3 linked regions of the Schizosaccharomyces pombe genome follow. The protein of the gene in region 1 purifies or fractionates together with the protein of each later gene. This does not show direct contact. Each region holds a gene or a part of one and is shown in the gene's direction. Other genes may lie near its edges. The genes, in order: myo51, cam1 and rng8.

The links.
Region 2: the proteins of myo51 (region 1) and cam1 purify together in Schizosaccharomyces pombe (affinity purification with mass spectrometry, with the first as the bait; one study listed by BioGRID). This does not show direct contact.
Region 3: the proteins of myo51 (region 1) and rng8 purify together in Schizosaccharomyces pombe (affinity purification with western blotting; 2 studies listed by BioGRID, with this or other methods). This does not show direct contact.

The regions. Positions count from the first base shown.
Region 1 is NC_003423.3:2,989,338-2,996,489, reverse strand, and holds myo51 (myosin type V), read left to right. Parts: upstream 1-1,575; 5' UTR 1,576-1,675; coding exon 1,676-1,704; intron 1,705-1,759; coding exon 1,760-5,680; exon of another isoform or gene 5,681-5,719; coding exon 5,720-6,185; 3' UTR 6,186-6,302; downstream 6,303-7,152. Other genes in the region: protein mhf1, read right to left, coding at 27-38; peptidyl-tRNA hydrolase Pth1, read left to right, coding at 424-519, 567-871, 911-956, 993-1,166; telomerase regulator Est1, read right to left, coding at 6,303-7,152. UniProt on the Schizosaccharomyces pombe protein: Involved in cytokinesis.
Region 2 is NC_003424.3:1,442,573-1,446,833, forward strand, and holds cam1 (calmodulin Cam1), read left to right. Parts: upstream 1-2,277; 5' UTR 2,278-2,357; coding exon 2,358-2,360; intron 2,361-2,486; coding exon 2,487-2,936; 3' UTR 2,937-3,761; downstream 3,762-4,261. Other genes in the region: tif310 (translation initiation factor eIF3j (p35)), read right to left, coding at 1-500, 544-556; GARP complex subunit Vps53, read left to right, coding at 4,131-4,261. UniProt on the Schizosaccharomyces pombe protein: Calmodulin mediates the control of a large number of enzymes, ion channels and other proteins by Ca(2+). Among the enzymes to be stimulated by the calmodulin-Ca(2+) complex are a number of protein kinases and phosphatases.
Region 3 is NC_003424.3:3,852,925-3,857,045, reverse strand, and holds rng8 (protein Rng8), read left to right. Parts: upstream 1-2,129; 5' UTR 2,130-2,185; coding exon 2,186-2,246; exon of another isoform or gene 2,247-2,300; coding exon 2,301-3,277; 3' UTR 3,278-3,475; downstream 3,476-4,121. Other genes in the region: transcriptional regulator Pcc1, read right to left, coding at 3,622-3,856, 3,934-3,965.

The DNA.
Region 1 (7,152 bases):
ATACCTATATTAAAATGCATTATTACCTCCTCCATCATATAACTTTGATTACTTTTTATTAATTTTCGTAATAATACGTTACTAAAAGTTAAGATAAGTAGTCTCCTTATAATTAAATGGCTAAAACATGAAATAGGTGGTTTCCAAGTTTCTTCGTAGTTTGAAACATTGTTTTATTAATCTAAACTAAAATATTATTTTCGTGGGGAGCTAACCGTGCTAAATACCAAAGAGTAGGCCAAAACCAATCAGTTGGAAAGTATTTATTAATCTTAATAAAACCTTGTGCCTAAATAAAAATTTTCTCAGAAAAAAGTCCATGGTGCAAACACAATTCTTGGTAAGTTGAAAATTCTGTTGAGGATGCTAAAGCTTTTTTTCAATCAAAAAAAATTTTTTTTAAAATAAGTACCAAAGTTCCGTATGGCAATAAAACATCTTCCTAAGATTTTAATTGCCAGGAAAAACAAAGCAGAAGTTAACCATTGCGACCTTAAAAGAAGAGTTTCTATAAAAATTGTTATGATCCGTAAAAGTCTTTCCAAAATGGGATACTAATCCGAAAGATCTATGGTTTAGGAAATCCAGGATCAGCGTTCGTCAAATCGAGACACTCACTGGGGAAATTAATGGTGAGTATGTACGCTGACAGCATGGCATTTCCAAAAAATTGGCCTAGTACCAAAGAAAATCTCACCTTGGTTTTGTCCACCTCATACATGAATGATTCCGGGAAACAGTTGAAAAAGATATCTAATGATTTTGTGCGCAAAGTTTCGCCATTAGACAAAATCGTATATGTAGTTGTGCATGACGAATTGGAGTTAGATTTAGGCAAAGTCAAGCTTCGTTTGCCCGGAGGCTCTCACAGGTAAGTAATATCCAAAGCAATACTTATTAACATTGCTAGGGGACACAATGGGATTCGCTCTTGTCAAGAATTCCTAGGAAAAGAAGTAAGGTACACATTTAATTTCATTACTAATTCAAAGAGTTTTTACAGGATTGGATTGGGAATTGGACGTTGTGAGTCAAGGAATAGGGAGGACGTTTCAGATTATGTTTTGAGTAAATTCAACTCTAATGAAATGAAACTAATTGAAACTGATATATTCCATAAGTTTTGCAACATTCTTCAACAATTACAACTTTCAATTGAAACATAGGGACTAAGTTAAGCTTAACTCATTGCGGGTTGTTCCTTGTAAAATTGATTGTTGATTATAAGAACTATGAAGCTACATTGTTCATTCCGTTTAAATAAATTATCAAAACCCACAGTCCATCATATTTTCAAGGCAATATTGGATTAAAAGATCAATACCTTTTTTATTGCTATATAAAATTGATAGATAAATAAATCTAAGATACAACAATTCATGAGAACAAACAGAGATTAAAAGACTAATTTAAAAGACCCGCTTAAAGCAATAAAAATTCAAAACCCTAAAATACCAATTTTCTTTGTTTTGCTTTCGAATTAAAGAAATTAGGCGTTGGGAAGTTTGGCGTAGCGATACGCTCTAGCGTGTTTGCTCGTAAATATTTATTTGTGTACATAGCACATCGAAACTCAAGTTACCCGATTTATAACTTTATTCCTTCTTTTGATATAGTTTTCCTTTTATACCACAGAAGATATTTTATTTTCAAAAGAAAGTAATTAAAAATTGCTATGAGTCATGCAAGATTATCGGTAGGCTCGTAAGTAAATTCTCAAAAAGTAAACACCCTTCTATTAACAATCGTTACAAATTAGGGAATGTTGGGTTTCCAATAATAACGGTCATTGGGATGCTGCTCGATTAATCGAAATAAAAGATAATGGAGGAGGTAAAGTCGTAGCAACTGTTGCAAAGAGCAGCGGTGTTTTAGAAACAGTGAATTACCAACAGTTACAAAATCGAAACATCGGTCAATCAGAGTCGCCTTCTGATTTAACGAATCTTCCTTATTTAAATGAGCCATCTGTCCTTCATGCCTTACATAATCGTTACAATAACAAGCAAATTTACACATATTCGGGAATCGTGCTTGTCTCAATAAACCCTTACCAAAATCTTCCCGAGTTTTACAACGACAATCTGATAAAACATTTCCATAAAGATCCCGAAGCAGCCAAAGTTCCTCACCTATACTCTATAGCAAGTTCTTGTTACCATGCTTTAACTACAGATTCCAAGAATCAGACTATTATTGTGTCTGGAGAATCAGGTGCAGGCAAAACAGTTGCTGCTAAGTATATTATGCGTTACTTGACCTCGGTACAGGGAGTAGATCATAATGGTGTTGTTAAACGCTCTGTTGAGAATCAAGTTCTCGCTACTAATCCTATTATGGAAGCATTTGGTAACGCAAAAACTATCAGAAATGATAACTCTTCACGTTTTGGTAAATATGTTACCATAAGCTTTGATGAAAACTTGTTGATTACCGGAGCAAATGTAAACACATATTTACTTGAAAGATCCCGAGTAGTCTCTTTACTTAAAGGGGAAAGAAATTATCACATTTTTTATCAGCTAATTACTGGATGTACAGAGGAACAAAGGGATAAATGGTTTCTTGAGTCTGCGTCTTCTTTTAATTATTTATCACAAGGAAATTGTGATGAAATATCTGGCGTTGACGACAGTAATGACTTTACTATAACTTGCAGAGCTCTTTCAACTATTGGTATTTCAGAGTCAAGGCAGGAGGATGTATTTTGTCTACTTGCTGCCTTACTCCACCTTGGTAACATTGAAGTCTGTGCAACAAGAAATGAAGCACAAATACAGCCCGGTGATGGGTATCTTCAGAAAGCTGCTTTATTACTTGGTGTCGATTCATCTACGCTTGCTAAATGGATTGTTAAAAGACAACTGAAAACTAGATCCGAAACCATTATTACCTCATCAACTTTGGAACATGCTATTAGCATAAGAGACTCTGTCGCTAAATATTTATATTCCGCACTGTTTTTGTGGATTGTTCACATGATTAATGCATCACTTGACCATAACAAAGTTAAAAGAGCTGCCTACAAATATATTGGTGTTGTTGATATTTATGGCTTCGAACATTTCGAAAAAAATTCGATGGAGCAATTCTGTATTAATTATGCTAATGAAAAACTTCAACAAGAATTTAATAAGCACGTTTTTAAACTAGAACAGGAAGAATATGTTAAAGAAGGATTAGACTGGCGACTTATAGAATATTCTGACAATCAAGGTTGCATATCCTTAATCGAAGACAAATTAGGGATACTCTCGTTGTTGGATGAGGAATGTCGCTTACCTTCAGGGAACCACCAATCGTTTTTACAAAAATTAAATAATCAACTTCCTACAAAACACTCTCAGTTCTATAAAAAATCTAGATTTAATGATGGTTCATTTATGGTTAAACATTATGCTTTGGACGTTAGTTATCAAGTACACGATTTTTTAGCAAAAAATTCGGATGCCATACCTGATGAGTTTATAAGTTTACTACAAAACTCAAAAAATGAGTTTATAACTTATCTGCTAGACTTTTATATGCAGTTGGTTTCTTCTCAAAATAAAAATCCTAGAAAGACTGCTATAAGCAGGAAACCTACACTTTCATCAATGTTTAAATCTTCTTTGTCTCAATTAATGACAACTGTTTCCTCTACTAATGTTCATTACATTCGATGCATTAAGCCTAATGAAGAAAAGCTTCCTTGGACGTTCTCCCCGCCGATGGTGCTCTCACAACTCAGGGCCTGCGGTGTTTTTGAAACAATTAGGATATCCTCGTTAGGGTTTCCTGCTCGATTTTCGTATGAGGAATTTGCTCATCGATTCCGCATTTTGTTGTCTTCTAAAGAATGGGAGGAAGATAATAAAAAGTTGACTCTTAATATTGTTAACTCTGTAATTCCTCATGATAACCTAAACTTTCAAGTTGGTCGCTCCAAAATATTTTTCAGATCAAACGTTATTGGAAATTTTGAAGAAGCCCATCGAGCTACATGTAGCAAATCGACAGTTTTATTACAGTCTGCTATAAGAGGCTTCTTTACTCGGAAGGAGTATCAAAGAACTGTAAAATTTATCATTAAACTACAATCGGTTATTATGGGCTGGTTAACTCGTCAACGTTTTGAGCGAGAAAAAATTGAACGAGCAGCCATTCTTATTCAAGCTCATTGGCGATCTTATATCCAACGCAAAAGATATTTGTCCCTTATCAAATGTGCTATTGTTATTCAATCAATAGTTCGGAAGAATATCGCATATTCTCGTTATATAAATGAGTTAAGGGAAAGTTCTGCTACACTTCTTGCAAAATTTTGGCGAGCGTACAACGCAAGAAAAACTTTTAGAGGTTTGAAGAAGTCAGTTATTGCTCTGCAATGTGTGTCGCGCTCTGTATTAACCAGAAGATATCTTCGCAGATTACAAGATTCGGCGGGCAGGACTAGCATTCTTTATGAGAAGCAAAAGAACCTGCAGGCTTCTATAACCGAAGTATCCAAACAGTTGAAATCAAATAGCAAAAAAGTAACAGTTTTAAGGAATAAGCTTAATATTTTAAATAACTCACTATCGAAATGGAAGTGTTTAATTAAGAAGCCCAGTGACTTTTCTGAACCCGTTAGTATGGATTTTACTAGCAACGATGAACAGCTTGTGCAACTTTTGCAAGCCGAATCAAAGCTTCGGCAAGCATCTCAGCAACTTTATATGGCAGCCAAAAAATCGGAGTTGGGATTTGTTCAATCTCAAACTGCCCGAGAGAACTTGTCGAATTATTACCAAGCTTTACAGATGACAGTTTCTGAAAAATTTGAATATGATACTGAACAACTACCTTCCCGTGTTCTTTTTTACGCAATGGATAGATACTTCTCCATCCACAAAAAACTCAAACAGCTTCTTGAATTAGTTGGTGTTGAAAATGCATCTCTCTTACCTAATGAAGTTGTTAATAAACAAACTAAAGATTTATTGTATGAGAAAAGGGTTGTTTTTTTAAAGCAAATTAAGCAAGCTCTCACGGTTTCTTCTTTGTTTAATGCAGTTGGTTACAAAGATGGTGTTATGAGGTTGTTAGAAACGGATCAGAACTCACTACTTTTTGCTGGGGTAGTAAACTTTCTAATTTTTGCAGGTATTAGCCTTGATTTGAAGACACAAATCAGTGAGTTTTTGAGCCAATTGTGTTCCTATTTCACTAAAATCGTTGACGGTACAGTTATTGAAAATGATAAAACTCTAGATTTCTATGAAAAACCTCTACAAGCGGTTTTGTATTGGTTCGCAACGTTACACAAAATTCGTTCATTTTTAGTGCATCTTTTATCTATTAATTCACATGGAAAGCAAAGTGTGGTAGAGGATTTATGGAATCCGTTGATTTTGAAATTCTCAAAACATTTTTCTAATCTGGAAAATTCATTTCATTCCTTGGTCCAGAAACTATTAAGTTGTTGTACCGAGGGATCGATTAATGCTCTTTTAAATTCAAAATGTTTACCAGAGTTTATCGATGCGGCTGATGAGAACACAACACCTACTGGAATGAATATTTATGAGTTGATAGACAGAATGAATTTAATACACAAATTATTAATATCTTCTGCCTTGCAACCAAATTTATTGGAATTGACTATATCTCACATGCTTCAACATATAGGACAACGTGCCTTTCAAACATTAATTCATGGGTAAGGCAGCTATCAAAAAAACTATCACTAACATTCTAGCCGGTCACCGTACACTTGGAAATCTGCTTCTCAGGTTTCCTATAATGCCTCGCTGTTGATTAACTGGTGTCATCAAAAGGGTATTAGTTATGTTAACTCGTCACTATTGCCTTTAATGCAGTCTCCTTTGGTATTTTGCCTTCGTAAAAACGATGCAAACGATTTGGATGTTATTCTCTCTGTTTGTAATTTACTTTCGCCATTTGAAGTTGTATGCCTCCTAAATAGGTATCAGCCATGCGCTGGTGAAAATCCTCTACCAAAATCCTTTTCAAAAGCCGTAGAGGCATTATCTTGTAAGTATAAGCAATCTGGTTTTACAAATGGTAAAATCACAAACACTAATGGGCACGCTATTCCTATAGCTGCTTCTAAAAACCCTTTATTATCACTTGAAAATAATCATATATACGAAGAGCTTCGACTTTCAGAGTTGATAAACTTATTGGCTAAAGCTACATTATAAGCTTTTTATCAAGTATCATTAAACGTTACACCCGATCAATATTTTTAATTTATATTAGTACTCATTAATACTATATTCTTATCATTCTCTGTTAATTCAAAGCATCATATAGTAACTTCAGGAAAGCAATAAATTTAGTATTTTGGATATTTGATAAAATCGTTTGATCGATTCCGAAAATGGATGAGTAGTATAGTCGGGTGGGTTTATATTTAACTTTGGCCCTATAATGTCTTCGTTCAATCTTTTAAATAAACAAATGAAAGATTTGCATAATCCGAATTCATTGTAGTCCTCAAAAAGGTTTAACATTTTATTTTCTGAAGATTCTTTAAAAAACTTTTCACAAATTCTGAAATGATAACTCAATTGTTCTAATTCGTTCCGCTCAATGAATCCAAAAGCTGGAGAACTTTCAAGCACCCTTGCTAGTATCACCTTAATACTTGGTAAACAGGAAGTTAAGTAAGACGTTGGAGCACGCTCTGATTCAACTTCTTTAGCACAAGCAAGCGTTTGATGAAATAACCAAGAAGAAAATCGGTAATAGAAACTTCTCAGACGATCGTTACAGTTGAAATAACGACAGTGTAAAAGATTTGAAAAGGCAGATGATATGTAGTAAAGATTTTTTTTTTCATATCCTACATTTCTGATGTTCGACTGTAATAATGAATTCTCCAAATCCTTGACCATGATTGAGGGACATTTAAAAGGCTGAATTTCTTTTAACGAATGTATGCAACAGTCGGATATAATAAAAAGTAAAATCATCATGGGTGATACAAATTCAAAATGGACAGCGAAACAGCGTCTGTAAAATGCAATCAACTGTTTAAGCAAATTTAACAAAGCACTCTTGGGCGGGTCTTCAGAACATAAAGCCGATGAAAACCAATAAATAGACTCCACTATACATTCATCGGATGCCCAGACAACAGCAATTTGATTCCTATGCATTCCGTTT
Region 2 (4,261 bases), on another chromosome or scaffold:
GGCAGTGGTTTGACAATTTTTAACCTTCTTCAAAATATCAGCTTGGAAAGCTGCATAGTCGGCTTTTGTTTTGAGTTGTCGTTGATCAGCTTGCTTGGAGCGGTTTGCACTTGCTGAGTTTTTATCAACGATGTCAAACAAGTCCATGGCATTTGCCAAGTCAGAGTCAATTTCGGCTTGTCGCATAGCTTCTTTGGAACTTTCTAGTGATTCTTCCTTCGCAGCTGCTTCACTTGCTTTAATGGCTTTTTCGAAATTTCTTTCCTGAATTTTTTGTTGGATACGAGTCATTTTGTTAGAGCCTTGATCATTTTGGCTAGATGAAGAGGATTTTTGGGATACTGAATGAGAATCATTTTGCAAGGATTCTTTGTTTTCTTCTTCATCTTCATCCTCTTCGTCGTCAAATCTCTTTTTTGGCTTGGAAGAGGATTGACTATCCTTCCCTAAGGGGAAATCAAACTCTGCAGGCTTTGCAGGATCTTCTACTAAAAAGTCCTCTTCATTTCAGTTAATAAACATGTAGAATCATATATAGCTTACCCCAGCTATCCATTTGGAATTCACTTGATGGTTTTTACAGTCTACTAAAAAGGTATGTGGTTCAATAAGGAATTTATTGTAGTTGCACAACAAAATTACGAGATGAATTGAGTAGGAAAATATTCAAACACACGTACTGATAGAGTTCAACAATAAATACTTTAAATTCTCGATCATTCTTATTATTTTATTTTTTATATGTTTATTTTTATTTTTATTTTTTTATTTTTTTTCTATGAAGGATATGAGTACCTCGAATTATTAAAAGTTAAACTTCCCATTTCACAGCATTTTATTAAATCAATTGAGATTTATAAATTTGAATCTTTTAAGGAATTATACTCAAATTTTCATGGTCATTCTGTAGAGATGTCTTTAAACAGGAAGTGCAAAAATTTAAAATTATGAGAATAAACTATAAAATCTTTAAAAACAAAAGACGTCTAAATTTATGATTATTAAAGACAAAAAAATGCTCAATTTGAATTTATTTTTTTATTTTTTTTTGTGTTACATCAATAACAACAAATATTGTTTATTCGATTAAAATATCCGTTCAGACTAAAATCAATAAATTCGGCTACGGTCATTGTATCAGATGTTGAGGTTCTGGATTTTTATACATTGAATAAATCATTTAGAAAAGAATTAATATCGAAATATATACAGGCAATGAAATCCTGCTTGAATAATATATTGTTATTTACTTTTTCAGTTTTCCTTCTTCATTTGAGTGTTCAACTAGAAAAATTATCAGATCAAAATTGGCATATACAAAAAATACAAAAGCAGATTATGCTACACAACAAAAATGCAATTCATAATAAACGTGCAAAAAAACCTTTTAATGAACTGCACTTATCAAAAATGCTTTTGTTTAGCAAATTTTTCAAAGCTATGTCATTTTGCTCAATTATTTGGAGACTTTAAACCGTGACAGTGTTTGTAAATCTGCTCAATAATTAATTTTCCATAAATCAAAATGAAAACAATATTTTCATATCATGAATAATAATATCACTAACTCAACCTCATAGAGGAAAGTGAAAAACACGATTTTCTGTTTACATTCAGCAAAAAATTGCGCTGTAATAACCATTTCCAAATACTGCATTTACAAATATTTTTTGTTAAATCCTTTTGCGATTTAAACATCGAGTACGATATATAAGTTGAATGTCGACAACGTTCCGTTGCGCTATAGCATACTACGTTGTGTATCACTAATTATCACATGTTTGATTTGCTCTGTCAAGCTGTACATGATAAGTTACTTAGGTAGATTACTAAGAGTTATAAAATGAATAACAAAAAAAATAATAGAATGCTTAAATTTTATGAATTGAAATAAACAAAACCTCGTTTCTCTATTCACTTTTATGCTAATTCGGTGATAGGTAACAATATAACCTCTATATCAGAATATCATTCTAAGTTACTAAATGTATTTACCTGTGTACCATAATACAATAGGTCACAAGTAAACCACACGGCAGTTCTAGGTGTCGTTAAATAGATACCAATAAATGCGTAGCTGACATTGAAAAAGTTCCTTCATCCGCCGTTTAGTGGTTTTAGTGCGGTTTATAGCAAGTACGTTACTGGTTTGTTAGAGCATATACGATAATGTAATAAACTCTCATTGTTTGTTGACATCACTGTTGATGGTAGGACTTGCAACATTAGGAAGCGACAACGGTAGTCCTCATTTCTCCAAGGCACTTTAACGTAACTAGAGCAAAACACTAACCGCCAAAAATAAAGGTTAAAAAAAGGAATAGAAGGACTTTAGAGTTACTGATTTTTACCAGAAAATGGTATGTTTATTATATTGTTTGGACATATTCCGATTTTTCCTTTGAAGATTGACTAACAATCGTATGAACGGATGACACTCAGAAAATGATTTCTGAAGTCGTCTACCGTATCGTACATTATTACAGACTACCCGTAACCTTACAGATGAGCAGATTGCAGAATTCCGTGAAGCCTTTTCACTGTTTGATCGTGATCAGGATGGAAATATCACGTCCAATGAATTGGGTGTAGTTATGAGATCGTTAGGTCAATCGCCTACTGCCGCCGAATTACAAGATATGATTAATGAGGTCGATGCCGATGGTAATGGCACAATTGATTTTACCGAATTTTTGACTATGATGGCCCGAAAAATGAAGGATACCGACAACGAAGAGGAAGTTCGCGAAGCCTTTAAAGTCTTCGATAAAGATGGAAATGGATACATTACAGTCGAGGAGTTGACTCATGTGCTTACAAGTCTTGGTGAACGTTTGTCTCAAGAAGAAGTAGCCGATATGATACGTGAAGCCGACACCGATGGCGATGGTGTAATCAACTACGAAGAATTCTCTCGTGTCATTTCTTCCAAGTAGAAGGGTTGGAATTTCTGTGGAATATTTGTAAGCCTTAAAAAAATCAAAATATCCTTGCTGGGGTTTCCACCCTTTTAGTTCTTCTTTATAACCACTCTCCATCGCAATTTGGACAATCTCTTTACCAACTTAACCTCGGCTATTGTCCTTTACTTTTTTTTTCGTCTATGATTTTGAAAAACATTAGTTAGTGTATTACAACGTTTTGGTTGTTTATTTTGCTGGCCTAGGTGTGTCACAAAAGTAACTATGGTAGCATTTGTTGTTACCATTCATCTCATGATCGATCCTATGAATTTTAACGCTTCCTTTGTTTCAACACATAAAGGAATCCTTAAGTCTGGGAACATATACGTTATTGCTATGAGAATACCACGCACTTTTGCATTATTGCATCCTACAATGAATTATTAGAAGCTTCATCTGTCTGTTATATGATGCATTTGCTCGTACTAGTATGTGCCTAGTACTCGCTGTATACGTTGCATTTATGTCCTTGCAATTCCCATGCCCATTATTTAGCTCAATCTTCCTTTTCTTTTTTCCTTCAAGATTTACTGTTCATTATACTAGTCGATGTTAAAATTTTTAGCATTTTTCTAGTTATATGCACTTCTTGAAGCCGTTTTCTCACTCTGGTAGATATACGCTTTGTTTTGTACTTAATACATTACTTTATACAAATACATCTCTCAGTATGAAATTTTGTGCGGCACTTGTCGAAGCTAAGCTATACGTATTAACTAAACATAAATTCATAAATGACATCGTTTATTTTCTTTTTGCATTTCACGTAGTTATTCCGATCGTAAACAGAAATTCATCATTGGAATATGGACATTTCCTAAGAAGGAAGGCTCTGCGCCGGTAAAGTTCAAGTTAGTGAAGTTAAAACTTATCTAAAATTCAACATCATGGTACATATATATTCAAAAAGTTTTTACAAAGTTATCAGTTCTAAACCTCAATGTCCTCCTACTTGCTATTCAAGCCAACCTAACTTCCTCTCACCATCAACCACCCGCTATATGGTTTCGTATATCCCTTCGCCGTCGAAAACTTGTACCTAACTATACGAAATTTTCTTCTTTAAAATTGCCAAAAAAAAAGCTTCGAGTTCTATACTGCGCTGTATTACATAACACTTTGGAATCAAGGGTTAGCAATTACCATAACTAAATTAATTATAGCTCTATGTCGAATGGAAATGATAATTCTCTAATTATCAAAAATATTGGGAATAATGAATTTAAATTTGTAGAAACGCTTCACGAATTATTACCAGAAGATATCACTTATGATGATTTGGGTTCATTACGACTAAG
Region 3 (4,121 bases), on another chromosome or scaffold:
CTGTCGAACGAAAGCAAGTTAGCTATACGGTGTATTGAAAAAAATCTAAAACTTATTTTACTTCATTTAGCTAAGAGTACAGGTGCATCTTCTTCTTCCGTCGAAAAAATTCACGCTTATCTTTCCGGACAAATTTATCATACCAAAGTCGATGAAAGTTTGAAGAAACGGCAATATGAGGGAAATATTAGTGCTGCCTCTAAGCGTGTTAAGTCTTCTGCTGTACAAAGTCTTGTAGAAAGAATGCAACCCCAACTTAGCTCTCACGATGGTTTGCAAAATAATCCCTTAATCAGCATATTTGCTTCACAAACTGCTATAAATCCTCTTGCAAATTTTGATGTAACTTCAATTCCGGTTGAAGTGGCTACTGAAATTGTACTTACTTCTCTTCTTAAGATAGACAAAAACTACTTTCATCAGCAAATTAATATGTTGAGAGAGAGAGTGCGCTCTCTCTCTGAGCCTGAATCCCTTGGTCTTGATCAACAAGTTGATGAAGACGAGGACGAGGATTATGAACCGCCTGAGGTAGATGTTCAGACTATCAATGCTAGTGTAGAACGTGAAGCAGCTCGACTAGAGGGAAGTGCTCCCTCCAATGTCGTTACTGATGCGTTTGAATTACCCACTCCAGATTCGCTGTCCCCGATGGCTATTCTAGAATACTTTCACGGTGCCTTATCCAGATTATTTGATTATGCTCCTCAATTTGAAAGAAGCATAGTTTCTTCTTCTAACCTTCAAAATTTAACGTTGGAAAATGTGGATAATACGGTATGGGATAAGCGTCACTGGGCAATTCTCTTACCACGACTTTGTACGCGAGGCTTATTGAATTATCAGCCTGTAACGTCTGGTGAGGAATCTGGAGATGCTTCTTTCACTTTGTCTTCATTTGTTCGAGGGCAGCTTTTTACTTACGTTGCATCTAACTGGCGTTCCAGTACAAATTTAATATTGAACTGGTTATCCGAGGAATGGTATAATGATCGACTAATGCTTGAAAATCCGGATTGTCATGAATATGAGGATGTTAAGTGGGAAGGTCCACAATATGAAAAATGGGCCCTTAAAGTAATAGACAGCATTTTACCATACTTAGAGGCAAAAGATAAAGTTTTTATGATATTTATGTCTGAATTGCCAGAACTCACCGATGCTATAGTTGACAAAATTAAATTTGTATGTCTTGATCCCGATAAGACGAAGCTCGGTTTCATGACTTTTCAGTATTTAATAATGTTTCGACTAACCTGTACGTGAAAAATGCCTTGATATTCTTGAGACGATGTGGAAAGAGAATGTAGATGTTAAAGCTTCCGCCGCAAAGCTTTTGAATCGTTGGCGACCGTCGTTTTTGGAGTCTGTGAAATCAGAGGAAACGAAAGAGCCTTCCGCTACAGATAACACTTCCTAGAAAGCTTGTTTTTCCTGGGTCGCAGTGGGATTTCATTGGAAAGCCAAGGAGAAATAAAAGCTAAATGTTTAATGCACCATCTTTTGATAAAATAAAGTTCTGTTCATACCTAGACAGAAAAAATGTATCTGTGGCTAATCACCACTCTGTTTATTGGAGTTTTTTGGTATATATGCAAAATCTGTTCATATACTTCATTTAATCCTGCATTGGAAATGAGAGTAATCTTTCAATATTTCTTAACATACTTTACATTCATATTTATCTAGCCAGCATTTAGCCCTCTGCTATTTATGTAATGCTGTTACTTATAGCAAACGTTTATAAAAACTAAGTCTGTATAAAGCATAAATGAGCCCTTAATTTTTGGCGCACTAAAATTTAACTATTTATTATACAAATCTCAATTTTCATCGATGATAGAATGGCATATTTTATTATTAAAATAAACCATGGTCTTCTAAGAGTGGGATGTAAACTAAAGAGAAAGACTTGTTAAAAGTAAATTTTTGTGTCTATACACATAATGTAGAATAATAATCATTTGTTCCATAATTCCATAATTATACTATTTTCTTCAAATCTTGGCATTCATCTAAATGATTGATACACCCTCTTAAACCGTTTATCGAGTCCAACTGAGACTTACCGTGCAATAAATGAATGCTTTAGGACAATGAATGAAAAATAAGGATGCAACTTATCCTTTGCAATGAAGCAAGTCTAATTCATATTTATTTCTCTTTCTTTTATTTAATGTAAAAAATGGGTTTAGAGGGATCCGAAAAATTAGAACATGAAATCGAGCAAGTTCATGATAATATTGGTAAGAGAAATAAGTAAATAATAGTTCAAGCAAACGCTAATATAGCGATCCCAGAAAATAGAAAGGAAGAAGTTTCGACGCTCCAAGATATGGCAAATGATTTAGAAAAATTGACAGATCATATTGAGGCAACGTATATTGGTAGAGGAGTACCTCATGACCATGCAAAAACAGGATCTAGAAAACCGTCTTCTGGTCAATTGATTGCTACTATGCAAAACGAAATCGACAGACTAAAGAAAGAAGGAGACAAGGTTTCTATTTTACTTATGCAAGAGCGAAAGAAAAGGAAGGAGCTGGAGTCAGCGAAGAATAACTTGCTAAATGTTTATGATTCTCTTAAAATGCAAAAGGCGTCTGTTTCCAGTATGGTAAATCGGAAACAGCGGGCAGCTAAAGAAGAACAAAAAATCCAAGAAGAATTCGAAAGACAAATAACCGACCTATTGGAAGAGCAGCAGCAATTAAAGCTAGAGATTGAAAGATTGGAAGCTGAAACGGAGCGGGCGAATTCTGAGACCGAACAGTACGAAAAGCAAAAAGAAGCTTTAGAAGAAGAGTATGAAGAGCTCAGGAATGAATGCTTGAAGCATGACCCTCAGTTGGATGCTGAAATAAGGACATTACAAGACACATTTGAAGAAGTGGAAAGGACTTTGACAAAACAGGTGTCTGATGCTAAGATTGCTGATAAACCACTAAAAGATTCAATGTTCAATAGCAATAGTGAAAAGGAGAAAATTATGCATGCACTCGAGAAGGCTGAAAAGGATGCTGATATCTATTCCGAGTTCATCCAACAGTACATGGAACAGCTGGAAAGCTCGTTAGAAAAAAGTAGCACAGCCATAGAGAACGCACAAAATCGTTTAGCCGAAATGACTGCCCACCTTGCTGAGAGCAGTGATTATGACAATGATGACGATACCGACGGTATTATTAATGAAACTGATTATGAATTGGATACCAGCCAGAGTGAGTTTGCTACTCTCACCACTAGCTCTAACAAATCTATCCTGAATGAGAGCTAAAAGCGTTATTATTTTTTTTGGTGAAGCTTCAGGTGCTGGTAATATTTATACTATCTTTTAAGCCATGAACAGATATTTGGTCACTTTTAATTGTAAATTAGTTTAGTTTAAAAGGTATATAGCAAGGAGAATCAATTATATCAAGATACAGCAGAAATAATATAGAACTTGAAAAACTAGTAAAAAGAAAGGGAGGGGGCAGAAATCATTATTTATTTTATTTTTTTGCTTAGACAATAAATACTCTTCAGTCATTGTTCGACATAAAAATAACTTGTGTTACTGTAATAGAAGGATCGCATTTTTCTTATAAAATAAGATTCATCTTTAGAAGCACAGCTTTATCATAATGAGCTCAATTCATGCATAGTGTCAATGATTAAATAAAGGTTCTCAAACAAGGAATTTACAGTTACTCTTGTCATCCTCGCTGAAGAGCAAGAATAGTTCACAACCAAATAGTTGTCGTCAACAAAAAGATTTCTTTGCACTAGTTCCTCTTTCAACTCACGATCTGGAGCTAACACTTGCAAACATCGTTCAGCGTCCACTCGACTGGCTAAAGGAACTTTCACAGTTCTACATATTACAGGTATTAGCAAATCATTTATAAATATAATTAAGGGAAGCTGAATGAACGACAAATAGCTACTTACACTTTATGAGGAAGCACGATCATTTCTGACATTTTAATAGGGAAATCGTATTCTAGGACTCCAAACTTTTTTAAAAAATCGAAAAATAGATTAACACTTCTTCGCAATCCCGATCAATTAAATATTCATTAAGCACAAAGTCAATAAAGCCACGTTTATGCAAGTAGTGGTAGAATGCTTTGTAAGAC